3 linked regions of the Drosophila melanogaster genome follow. The gene in region 3 interacts genetically with the main gene of each other region. Each region holds a gene or a part of one and is shown on either strand. Other genes may lie near its edges.

Region 1 (5,237 bases), on a different chromosome or scaffold from region 3:
GAAATGCTCCTCGGCACAACCATTATGAATTGTTTTTAATTGCATTGAATTTGCTTTCGGTGAAAATGCGGCAAATATCCACAAAAATCGAGGCCATCTGTGGAAAAAAGGCAACACGAAAAACCGAACAAAAAATTAAACAGTTAAGTAGGAAAAATGCAAGAAAAAAGAAAAACGCTCTTGTTGTTGGTGACGTTGATTAAAAACTTTTCGAGACAGTTGACGTTGCAGAAAATTCTCAAAAATGGAGATGAAAAATCCTGTATTTTGGTGTGTGTGTGTGTGTGTTTTTGTTTGCGTGTGTGAGTGCAGCTGAAGAGGCAACTGTAAAATTAGGTTAGCAAAGGAGTTTTGGGGTCTGTGGTGTGGGCTATGGGTTATATGGCTGACTATGTGGTCACATGTGCAATTTGATTAAAACTTGGGTGCCGCTAAAAAAAACTGCTGTCCTCAAGTGACGGAAAAAGTGGACGAAAAAATGACGAAAATCTAAAAATGAACGTCGTCATGGCTAAGTGGTAGCCATTTTTTACCTGCAATCGTTTTGCCACTCGACTGAATGGTTTTGCGGCTAGGGCAAAAACATAAAATCCGCGAAAATTAATTAAAGATTGCGCACCTTACGCTAATCTGTTTTAATGAAATTCCCTTTTATGTTTTTTCTTGGCCTTTAAAGTGGAGTGGGTCATCCTACAGATGAATAAATCCTATTTTTTGTCTGCAATGTTCTCTTTCAATGTATCATGTCAGTACTATTTAATTAGTATTTTATTATTAATGTATTATGCAAAGCTGCTGGCCTTCTTAAAATAAGTAGTACATTGTACTAATAAACCAAGATTATAATATTTTATATATCGAGGATTAAAACAGTTTTTGTTTGGCAGCTTTTTGGCAAAAAATTATAAATACGAGTGAGCATTTTAAAAACATTTTACAAATTGACAGAGTTGGCATGACTAAGCATTGTACATGGCTATAATCCAGTGAATATGTTTATTGATCAAATAAAATTAATCAAATAACCGTATGTAGAATTCTAGGTGGTAACTTAAACTCTACAAGTGTAGCAATTCGGAAAGCAGCTCCAAAATAGTTCGCAATGGGTTAGTGACACAGCTAATATTAGAAGGTAGTAATCGTGTATGATGTAATGTAAAATTATTGTAAAATGGAACCGGAAATGTAATTTTTAAGGAGGATTGCAAATGAAATTCAATTTCAATAGCATTCTATGTAATGGAAATTCTTTTAAGCTTAACAAATGAAAGCTTAACAAATAAGAAAATTGGTCTTTAAAAATCATATGTTGTTGTTTAATTAGTCAAATAATAAATTCAACTATTATTATACTTACAGATAATTAAAAAAAATAAATAACTTAAGAGATTTTTTGCTGTGGCCTTTTTTCCGCGCTGAATACAATTAATTCGATGTTTTCGGATGTTTTCGGCGCGACTATCGATAATACCCCGATACTGACAAATAAAAAATAAATTATTTTTTTATTTTAATATACTCTTTCTTAATTTAAGTCAATTAATAAGTCTATTTATATATTAGAATCGTTTTTTTAGCTTAGTGACAAAGTTTTGCCGGAGAGTCCACTTGTTATGCGTGGGAGCGTGAGCGTTGCGGAATGCGCGCGCTTTTTGCAATTGTGGAAAGCGGAAAAGCGGAGGGGTGTCAGAAGAAGAAGCAGGGCGGCGCAGACAGGAAGCTTTTCCCACAATTGCACAACGTCGGAGAGGTATTATTATTACGCGACAGGCAATCGGCGCGGCAACAACAGCAAACTAAGCAACGCATCGCAGACGCAAAAACAAAACTAAATATTACAACATATTTACTTGGCCCAATAGGGGGAGGGACGGGAAATTTTCCGCCCAACCCATCAGCCACCCCAAAAGAGTGGGTGGCGGAGAATCGCCGTAGGATCCGCTCCTCCGCGACCATTCATATTCATTCAGTCACGAAATCTCATTCGGTGTGTGAGTGTTGATGAGGTTAGTTGTGAAACGCGGTCCGTTCTCGTTAAGTCGGAAAACCGAAAAGTGCATCAAGGAAATCATTTAACAAATCAGTGAAGTAAATTAATTTCCAGCTGCAAAGGAGAAACACAAACCTACTAAACAGTGTGCCGCGCGAAAAGAGGCGAAAAAGTGTTGCATACTCCGGGGCTGGCTGCAAAACCTCCGCTAACATGTTGGTAAGTTGGTGAATAAAATATTTTAAAACAAATCGGATCAGAGTAGCATGGAGTATCTATTAATTGATTTTCCTGGGAGGGGGGGCCTTTCCATATCTATTTTCCAAGCCAAGTGATTTATTGATTTTTCCGCAATGCGTTTGTGTGTGTGTGTGCGTATCTTTTTCGGTATGCACTTTTTCCAGAGAAACATCCCACTGGGGGCAGCAACCCCCAACTAAAAAGCGCCAACTTCTATTTTTCCTTCATCAATACTTCACACAAACACACACACGCACACAGTGGAATAAAAACAAATGGTATTGGTGTGTGGATTGGAGCAGGCGCTCTATGCAACGGTATAGCAACCCCCAAACAATGCACAACCCACCCTCTTTCTCGCTCTCGTTATGGCTTTGAAGGGTATTACTATCCCGCTCTCGCGACAATAGCTCAACTGTTTTGGCATTTGAAAACTAACTGCCGCCCCCATCCCCCCGCACCCACCTATCGTAACCCCCTTAGTTTCTCGCTCCTGGGTGGGTGGTTGTTTTTCACAGCCGGAGCACATCATAAATTTTGTGTCTATAACAATTTTTGTTATATTCAACCACCCCACCCACCTACCCACCACCCCAAAAAGCGACCCACACCCCTTATCAAAAAAGTGCAAAGGAATTGTGTTGCACTTTCGAGAGTTCAACTTCCGTTCGTTCACTCTCGCGCTCTCTGGGAAAATAGAAAATAACGGCACAGGCTTGCGCTCTCTCCAAAGAGAGAGATGCATTTTCATTTCGATTCGATGGGGGGTTTTGCATATGATTTTTTGGGGTTTCGGTTTTTATGCAACATATGCGACTACATATGTATGCATATGTATGTAGGAGTTATATAATTTGTATTTGATTATTTTGCCTTTGACGAATTCCGTTTGTGGCATGGTGTTTTCAAATGAAAACTAAAAATGTGTGGTTTTTTGTTGCCATGGGCAATATGGTGAAAATTTGTGGGTGGCAATGTCTGCTGCAGAATGCAAATAACTGCATTCGAGTGCTTTATATATATATTTATATATATAAGATTATATTCCCACGCACATATTTTATACATTTATATATTATATGGAAAATGCAATTTGTATGCAGTCGAATTGCACTTGCCCGGGATTATGCCTATATAAATAAATACTATGTACGGGGTAGGGGGATACCGGCAACGGAATTTCGTTTCATGGCGTCTCCATGGATTATATATAGAAATTAGTTGTGTTTTTGAAGCTGCTTACATAGACTGACAGCTTAATTGCTTTTTACTCGTCGACAAAAATTGATTTTAAGCTCGAGTTAAACGAAGCCAAGCACTGGAAAATGCCTAGAATGCAACGCATATTCCTTTAGATTGGAAAGTAAAGGGGTGGAAAACGGAAGCAGACTATAAGACAAAGTTAAGCAAGTTCGTTAAGCAATAACAACTAAGTGAGTTCGTTAACCCAACAATACATGACAGCATTGTTGAAAACTTTGACTAAAATTGGAAATCATTATATTAGCGATCACTTTCTTTTATTTCCAAAAGAACCTTATGTACTTTTTGAACTTGATTCTTTGGTAGTCACTACATAACATGAAAAAAGCGTAGCGATCATTTGATTTTATTCTTAGCCGCAAACTGACTATTTCCTGTTGACTTCATTTCATTCACACTCCCCACGCTGATGATGATGATTGAAAAAATCACCCAGGGGCCAAGACCCAGTGACTCACCCGACCGCAAGGCAAGCCAAGCGGAGACTGTACCCAACCCAATGCTCAAAACAAACCCAGTCTCGAAAACGCACACACACACACACACACTACCCACCCACTCAGACAAAGTGGATTCGAGTTGGGAGTTCGGAGGGAGTTGCGCATGCGTGGCCGTGTCCCACGCCCACTCGTCAAGGGGTGTCTCCACATAGGAAAAACATTTACGGAAATCTAAAGATTTGCTCTTTGAAATTATGTTAGAACTCACTTGATCTATAGGAAGTCACAACTAGTACTACATTTTCATTGTTTGAATCCTATATCAACGGGATATAACAACATATAGGCAACGTATTATAACAAATGCCTACATAGACAGTATGCAAATTTGTACCAATAATGTCCCCTCTTTTTTCTCTGTGCATGTTGGATGTGAGATAGTGTACGTATATAAAGGGTTGGAGCGAACTATACAGTGGGAACCAGTGATCGCACAACCACCCCCGGGGTTCCCAAGTTAAATGAGACGTGACAAAGTGCAAGAGTTTCGACCCCTTTGAGAAGTGCCAGGCAGATTTCCTCTTCACAAGTGGCGCCCAAAATGGGAAGCCCTATTCCAGCGAGGAGACTTTCTCCCAACTGCAAAACCGAAGAAGGGCTTCGTCTTCAGGGGCAACAGGTTTTGCTGGCCGTAGGAAGCCATGTGCTGCTGTAATTGGTCAGGCTCATTACGGGGATCGTTGGTTATATCACAGCTTGCACCGGGCCAAGGATGGACTAACGGGTCCACCCAGGCCCAGTGAGCACTGCCTCCGAAAGAACCTCTCAGGGGGATTCGAGGTGGCCCACATGTTGTCCACTGACGGCTGCTCACGAACCGGTTCCAGTCACCAGGCAGCTCCTTTATCCGCGATCATCATCATCTCCATTTCCATCACCACCATCATCATCATCTCCTTGGCCGGCCACTTCCACTTGAGTGGCAATGAAGGCAAAGTAGGGTGCTCAGGCTGCTCCATTTCGAGGGTTAACCTGTTTGCAGTTACCCTACGGTTGAGGTATGTGGGTTTCAGTGCACCTTTCGGTAACTACTTGATTTCGGGAAATACGCTTATGTCTTTCATTTTAAATCTTTAAAGAGCAGTCATGTGTACATATTGACTACTGAACTTAATTTTAACAAATGAAATAATATTTCATATATTATGATTACTTCATGAAGGAACTTAAAAACTACTTCCGAATGATAGGGCATTTCCAGGTCTGTCTGGCCGAATAGACATTATGCATCTTCTTCACCTCAT
Region 2 (3,213 bases), on a different chromosome or scaffold from region 3:
GCCGTGGATCGGATGGATGAGTGAGTTAGTGTAAGGGAGCTTTCCTCTGTTTGGTACACATTGCGAACTGCTCCGATGGCCTGTGGCAATCTACTCCATTCATCCATTATGTCTGTAACCAATTTACCATTTCGATCTTTTCATGTACGTTGAGCTGATTGTTATCGTACTGAAGACGAATCCGCGGCGGAAACTCGCATAGAACAAACAGAAAACTGCGCAAAGGTTTGCTTTTGGTAACTGGTAACGATTGGTTGTGGTTGGTCAGGTCAGGGGTCTTTCGAGCTGGTTAGCCTCCACTTTGGATTGCGGACGGTGACAAAATTCTGGGGGTCTTTTATTTTTGTATTGTATTGTTTGGCAGACAGGATCCATGCAATTGCCTTTTCGTACCGTGCGACATACGGGAAACAAACTATTGTGTAGCAGGGCATTTTTCCTATTACACCATTATTAAGAAAAGCGGACAGAGATCAATGTCACATTTAGATTTGATCAAATAAAGAAAAGAATTCCTCCTTACACGAAAAAGTACTTGTTTCATTTCTAAGTATTTATCAAGATGACTTGAATTTTTTACAATTTTCGCTTGTTAAACTGGTCTATATGTCCTGGATAAGAAGATTTGCAGTGGCGTCCTTGGAATCTCTTTAAAAATGTATACATTTGTTGCAAATAAAGCATTGTGAAATCTATGGACATTAAATGCGACCTCTATTGGAAAACATTCACATATGTCGCAAATTATTATAAGCGGATATGATAGAAAATGTTAAAGTAAAAGGGACTAATTTCAAGGATGAAACATTGAATATCAATAGCAAGCATTTTTCATTCCAACCCGATAAGTACCTATGTACCCAGTTATATTACGAGTAATGGGTATCAGCTGATCGCTACCTTTGCTTCTAAAATGGCATACTGCGTATATCAATAGGCGACATATCGATATAATTGACTGCTATCTCAGCAACATAAAGAAACTGGAATATTCTAACTGTATTTTGCATGCGAATATAAACTTTAGCCGTAATCTTGTCGAATGCTACAAAAAACTACCCAGTAACTTATTATTCTGCCTTTCTTTAATTCGATTCCCTTTGCCATTGAGTACCCGATAGTTAAATATTTGTATGCTGCCCTGCGTACACTGGCCTACAAGCAACTCGAAAAATTCAATTATGTTCGCCGATAGTTAAATAATTTGATGTGGCCCTGCTCACATTGGCTAACAAGTAATGTGAATTAATTATGGGTATAGATATTGCTTGAATTGCAATTCTCATATCACTTTTTTTTTAATTTTCCGTAATATTCATCTTTACGAACCATCCCAATACTTATGCTTCTATTTAAATATTAACATTCATATTTATATTAAACATATATATTGACTCTCTAATATGCTTTAAATGCTATTTAAATCGATTGCGTGCTTAGCATTACATTTTTTAGTCCAATTGTTTGAATATTTTTTCTTTTCGGCATATATCAAAATTACTTGTTAGGAAAAACGTGACCGAAAACCGAAACAGTGACAATAATGGATGGTTGCTGGCGAATCTATCGACTACCTATCGTGTATCGATACACACCGATAGTATCGCAAAAGTTAACGAGGTAGGTCCAGCACCAGTTTTTTTGGCGTGTAGCTGTAGCAGAAGCAAAAGGAAGCCGCTTGTGATAAATTTCAACTTCCATCAGCAAGCACTGAATTTGAGGAAATCAGGTAAATTTTTGCATTTCTACGCGATTAGTTGCTGCCCCGCGGTATTGTGCTTAGTTTTTACGTGTGGTTTACCAATTTCCGCGTACTTAATTGGACATTTTGCCTCGTTTTTTTTCGTACAGCACGCCCGGCATTCGACGCTCCGCAAAAGAAAAAAAAAACTTTTTTGACCACTTAGCAGCTTCAACAAGCAACCAAAAAATCAACATGTCTGACGAAAAGAAGGGAGGTGAGACCGAGCACATCAACCTGAAGGTCCTCGGCCAGGACAACGCCGTCGTCCAGTTCAAGATCAAGAAGCACACACCCTTGAGGAAGCTGATGAACGCCTACTGCGACCGTGCCGGACTCTCCATGCAGGTGGTGCGCTTCCGTTTCGACGGACAGCCCATCAACGAGAACGACACTCCGACCTCGCTGGAGATGGAGGAGGGCGACACCATCGAGGTTTACCAGCAGCAGACTGGTGGCGCTCCATAAGATTACTTAGTTAAGTTAGTTACTCCTCTTACAACTACACACTTAAAACGAAAAAGAAAAAAATACAAGAAAAACCACAAAAGCAAAAACACAACAACAACAACATGAAGAATCCAACAAACCAGGCCCTAAGAATCGATTGAATATGCTTTTAGTACAACTGTAGATTCTAAATGCGTCTGTGTGCGTAAATAACAAAAACATTTGCAGACAAGAAAATGGTAAATAAAGCATTTTATAAACTACACAAAATTTGCCGTCTTTCGCTATTTATTCCTGCGCCTGATCGGCGTTTGTTTTTGCCCTTCTGCAACGAAAAGCCGGTGCGAATTTCCCGCTTTGTGACCCTCTTTCTAAACAGCACGCACACACACTGTCATTGGCATGGCACGTCTGTGTGCGAGCAGGACTGGGTCCAGTGCGCGTGTGTGCGTGCAAATTGATATACATACACATCGGAGAACACTGAATTTGCGGGAAAAGTACAAGCATACATATACGCCTGCGAATTTGCGAAGTCTGGGAAAACATAACCTCAAATTTGAACAAGAAAAAAAAATGACGTCAGTTTTGAGAACCTTCTGGAAATTACATAGAGGTAACTATAACCTCAAAATTGGGATCTAGTAATACGCTTGTGTGTTTGTGAAAGCCAAGCCATACATGATGATTGTGTATGTATACCATGTATACATACATACCATTCATGATGTATGTGCGTATGTGCTTAAATTTTCAAAGGTACAGTTGTGTAAAAAAAAACTATGATGAAAAATTAAAAAGTAGATATGTACGTATGCATACATGAAGTCATGTCGACAGGTCCTGTTATATTAGACCGGCTGTATATGTATATGTATATGTGTTCATTTTTAATATTGGTATTGGGTAAAAATTTCCGAAATTTTTCTTATAGATTTTTTGCTGTCTCACCATGACTCAGCACCATACATATATACTTTATATTGTAAAACATTTATTTTCCAGGCCCTTTAATTATGTAT
Region 3 (4,285 bases):
CCTTTGTCTGTGATGCCCTTTAATGTGTCAAAATATAGTCTATAGTCGCATTCTCCCATGCGTTTGTTTTTCTAATGCAACGTGATTTATTGTCTGGCCAGTGGAAGAGGTTTATTCCAACGGACTGACATCTCAACGGTGCGTGGGAGTGAAGAACTTAGTTATTGTTTGGGGTAAGGTGTTTGCATTTAACTTTTTCAGAAGTGTAAAAAGTGGGTAAAATACTTTTTTGTAAGGCCGTACATTATAGGGAATACTAGGAACTATAGTTAAGCTGAGCAAATTCAAAAGAAAAAGTCTTAAAAGTGTTGATCGGGTTAAAACTACCTCACTTTATATATTTAAGTAGTAATGTATACATAAATACGAACTCCTCTTATATTGAATAAATTGTAAATTGCTTTTTCGACACTTTTCCTTTTTTAAGTTCAATATCTGATCTGAATTTCAAAGTCGTAATTGTAAAACTAGTAACCTTTTAAACTAGTAACCTCGTGGCACGTGTCACAGGTGTCATCGTCTTACCTGCGATAATTTGACATTCTTAGAAACTACCTGAAGAAATAGGAAACTACTGGTCTAAAACCAAATACTGATCTATGTTTTGCGTTATCTGTAATTCGTATTAATGATTTTTGGATATAAGAGTGATTTTGTAAAACCAATGCAAAGCAACCTTAATTGTACATAACGGCTGCACATGGTCCCATCGGCACTGCAAGGCAATGCAAGTAGTACCCGAATGTTTTACAAACCTGATCAATAGATGGATCCCCTTTGAGAAAAGAACTTAAATATGATTTTTCGTTTAATTTTTTCATTTTATTTTTCCACCAAAAACTAATTAACATAAAATTGTATTAGCAAAAAAATATGTTTTCGTTTCCATGCTATAGTTATTTCATAAATATATAAATTTGAAACTGGTCTCGTGGTTCTTAACAATGTAAAAAAATAGCTTAAAGTAAGAAAAAAAAATTGGGGGTATGTTGTTTTTGTATTAGTGTTATTTACAATTTGAGGCACTTGGTTCAACTCAACATTGACTAGAAGAAAATAGGGCGTGGTGGTAAATTTTGGGGATTAAGTCACTGCTCCTGCCATAGAGAGATGTAGTCCAAAATCTCCTCGTCGTCGGGGGTGCAGTCCTCCTCGTCTAATTGAAAATGTTCGTACGGTTCAAATTTTAGCTGAAGTTGGGAGTGCGTGTGTAATTCGTTGTCCAGATGATCCAGACGATCCAGGTGGGTGGATATTTGTTGGGGAACTCCTTCGTAGGTGCCTGAATCAAAGGACATGCTGGAGTTGAATGATGATGTTGGCGAGTGGCAGGTTTGCTGGTTTTTGCTGGTGGATACGCATCCTGCATCTCCACCTGGTACGGATGTGCCCACCAAGTTGGTATTTAATGAGAGCGCTGTCAGCGGTTGGTGATTGAACTGCTGCCTCTGTAGCTGCTGCTGTTGTTGCAGAGGACTGACAGAGATCGTGTTTTGATAGTAGGTATTATGCCCTGAGGAACTGCAAGTACTGCTGCTCGAACTGTGACTGCTGGACTCATCCAAACAAAGTTGAAGCTGGGTGACTGCATTGTTGGCACCAATATTGCTGCCCCCATTTAGGTCATCCACCAGATCCTGAAGCCTCCGGATGTACTCGACGGCAATGCGCAGTGTGTCTACTTTGGAGATCTTTTTGTGAGGTCCTCGACCACCACCCTTTGTCAAATCCGTGATTATGGATTGTGGTATATGTTGCCGCAACCTGGCGAAGCTGTTGTTCACCTGCTTTACACGATTTCGTTCTCTAGCATTGCGCCTTTGGACCGACTGGGATTGGTCTACATTATATGGAGCCGGCGAGGAACCAGGCGATAGAGATGATACTGATTCAGAGCATCTGGTCAGTGCCATACCCCTTGGTGTATACTTGCGAGTCTTAATTGGCATTGTGCCAGCGGGTTGATTTTGATTGCCACCGGGAATTAATGGACTAGGGGCTGGCATTATGTGCTGATAACGAAAGATCTTCGTTGCCGAATTGATGGTCGTTGGAAACGTTTCGTTGGTGGACAGCACACTCGATGACATGGTAGTGCTTTTCGTTGTATTATTATTATTTTTCATTAACACACTCGGAGCTTTCTTTAACTTTCCGGATAACGATCAACAGAAAAAAATAAATGAACAGAGTACAATACTTGAACTTGATCGTTTGACACCTTACACAAGAATGAGTCCCTTCGTCCTAAACCCTCGCGTTATGTACCCTTTATGCAACTCTCTGCACAACACTCAGGCAGAGAAACGGGCGAGAGAATCGGAGAGAAAGAGAGAGAGAGAGTGACGGCAAGAGCTACCTGCACAGGTAGGGAACTCGAAGTGAGTGAGCCACAGGTAGTCTCTCTCTCTTTCTCTGTCTCAGGTACTCGAGTATCCCACAGGAAAACTGTTCTCACTCGACAGTCCAAAAGAAACACTCAAATTTTAAACTCAAAATATCAACTCGAAATATCGAAAAACGATCAAGGTATCTGAGTGAGGGCTCTTTTTGCTACGGCACGCCAGCAATTTGATTTCTGTGTTAATTAACTTAGCAAAAGTCGCGATCGCCAATTTTATGTGCAGCTCACGCACGCTTCTATTCATTAGCGCCGGACGGATCCAAGGGATCGACAGAAGATCCTGGGATCCTCCTTATTAGACATTCGGAGTACGCTCCCTAAAGGTGTTCAAACAATTTCACTTATTTCTCCAATTAAATTATCAAAAGGATCACAATTTTTTGTTAAGTAAATCAAAGGGATGTGACACAAGTTCTAGAAGGAAGTTTGCAGTGAAAACTGCGGTTCTTTGTTTGTGGCTACTTGTGTTTTTTCTAGAACTACTGGGATGTTGCTTTAAATATATTAATTTGTTTGGGAATAATTTAGTTCTGGGTTTGATTAAATGTTCACACATTTGACTTTTAACGGTGTATACTTGTTATTTGTTCTATTACATAATGCGGTCTAAGGTAAAGAAATACTAGACATACATGAAGTTTCATACATCTTCTTTGAAATAATAAATTGATTATTTCAGACTGTTGTAACTTGCCATTGGCCACTGTGTCGTGCTAAACGGCGACTGTAAATTGTAACTTCCGCTCTGTTCACAAAAATCGGTTCATTTTGTCACGATCATCAATCGATGAGCGAGTGAAAAGATGCCAAATCGGCGACCAGGTGTAATATTTTTATTGTCCTCAACTCGTTACCCTCGTTTGCTTCTGCCAGCATTTTTCTTTTGCCAAATCATCAGCAATAGCACTTCTTCACTTCTATTTGGCAAATTTTAGATCCCCGGATCCCAAAATCAAAAACCGAATCCGAAACCAAAACCAAAGCGAAAACCGAAATCCTGATAACAAAAAAACCTTTTCAACCATGACCAGCAAACGGCGCTTCTCTGTGTTGTTCCTATAAATAAAATCCTTTCACCATTTCCAATACCTTTTTTGCATGCTGAACTTCGCTTGGAGTCTCCACTCTTTAGTTTTTGCATTGTAACGGAGGGATCGGTAGTTGGTTTCCATTATTTTACCATCATTAACACTATCATTGTTCTTGAGTGTTGCAGAAATTTTGGCAGCACAATGTTCTATTTAAATTTTCGCATTTTCCAAAATTCCATTGAAGCATTTTAATAAATGGTTGGGAGAAATGCCGGTGACATGCCTAGAATAGGGTTGAAGTCGTCATTAGAAACTCCACTCAGTGAACTGTGTGATCTATGGTGTATGCGGACATTTAACTGAAGTGGAATGCATATAATGCATATACGCGATCCTTTTTTCCTTGAAGCGGAGAGTCATAAGCAAGGTTGGTATAATCGCGTGTTCGGTACAATTGATTAATCATAGGTCCAATTCCGGTCACCGCTTGCATGTAAATGCCACTCATACCTTGAACAAGCATTGGATATTACCTTCAAAATTATAGTACCTAGTGTAGGAATCTTTTAATTTTGAATGATTTAAATTTTATATTTCATAAATGCTTCATTTCCTTTAGTATATAATATTGTTAATTTAACTCTATCTTTGTGGAAGTCTTTTATATATTTTCGGAAACTTAATAATGTTTTTTTTATTATTTCGAAAGACTTGTTCTTCAGGAAAACCATCAGAAAGCAAGTTAAGTAACCTTTCGATGTTGTCCCGACAACCAGTAAACATTTTTTTCGGACTACCTTGTTTATATCCTTTTTCCAGACGCAACGCTTGGAGGATTTAAATGCGTAAT

What was found. Genes that interact genetically often act in the same process or in processes that back each other up.
Region 1: of sc (region 3) and chn, changing one suppresses a phenotype caused by changing the other (phenotypic suppression), as found in Drosophila melanogaster (one study listed by BioGRID).
Region 2: of sc (region 3) and Sumo, changing one enhances a phenotype caused by changing the other (phenotypic enhancement), as found in Drosophila melanogaster (one study listed by BioGRID).

Annotation. Positions count from the first base shown.
Region 1 is NT_033778.4:15,113,480-15,118,716, forward strand, and holds the start of chn (charlatan), read left to right. Parts: upstream 1-1,981; 5' UTR 1,982-2,209; intron 2,210-5,237. UniProt on the Drosophila melanogaster protein: Probable transcription factor involved in the development of the adult pattern of macrochaetae. Required for accumulation of achaete (ac) and scute (sc) in proneural clusters.
Region 2 is NT_033779.5:6,966,024-6,969,236, reverse strand, and holds Sumo (small ubiquitin like modifier), read left to right. Parts: upstream 1-1,592; 5' UTR 1,593-1,729; intron 1,730-1,851; 5' UTR 1,852-1,936; coding exon 1,937-2,209; 3' UTR 2,210-2,457; downstream 2,458-3,213.
Region 3 is NC_004354.4:394,018-398,302, reverse strand, and holds sc (scute), read right to left. Parts: upstream 2,244-4,285; 5' UTR 2,127-2,243; coding exon 1,089-2,126; 3' UTR 806-1,088; downstream 1-805. UniProt on the Drosophila melanogaster protein: AS-C proteins are involved in the determination of the neuronal precursors in the peripheral nervous system and the central nervous system. Also involved in sex determination and dosage compensation.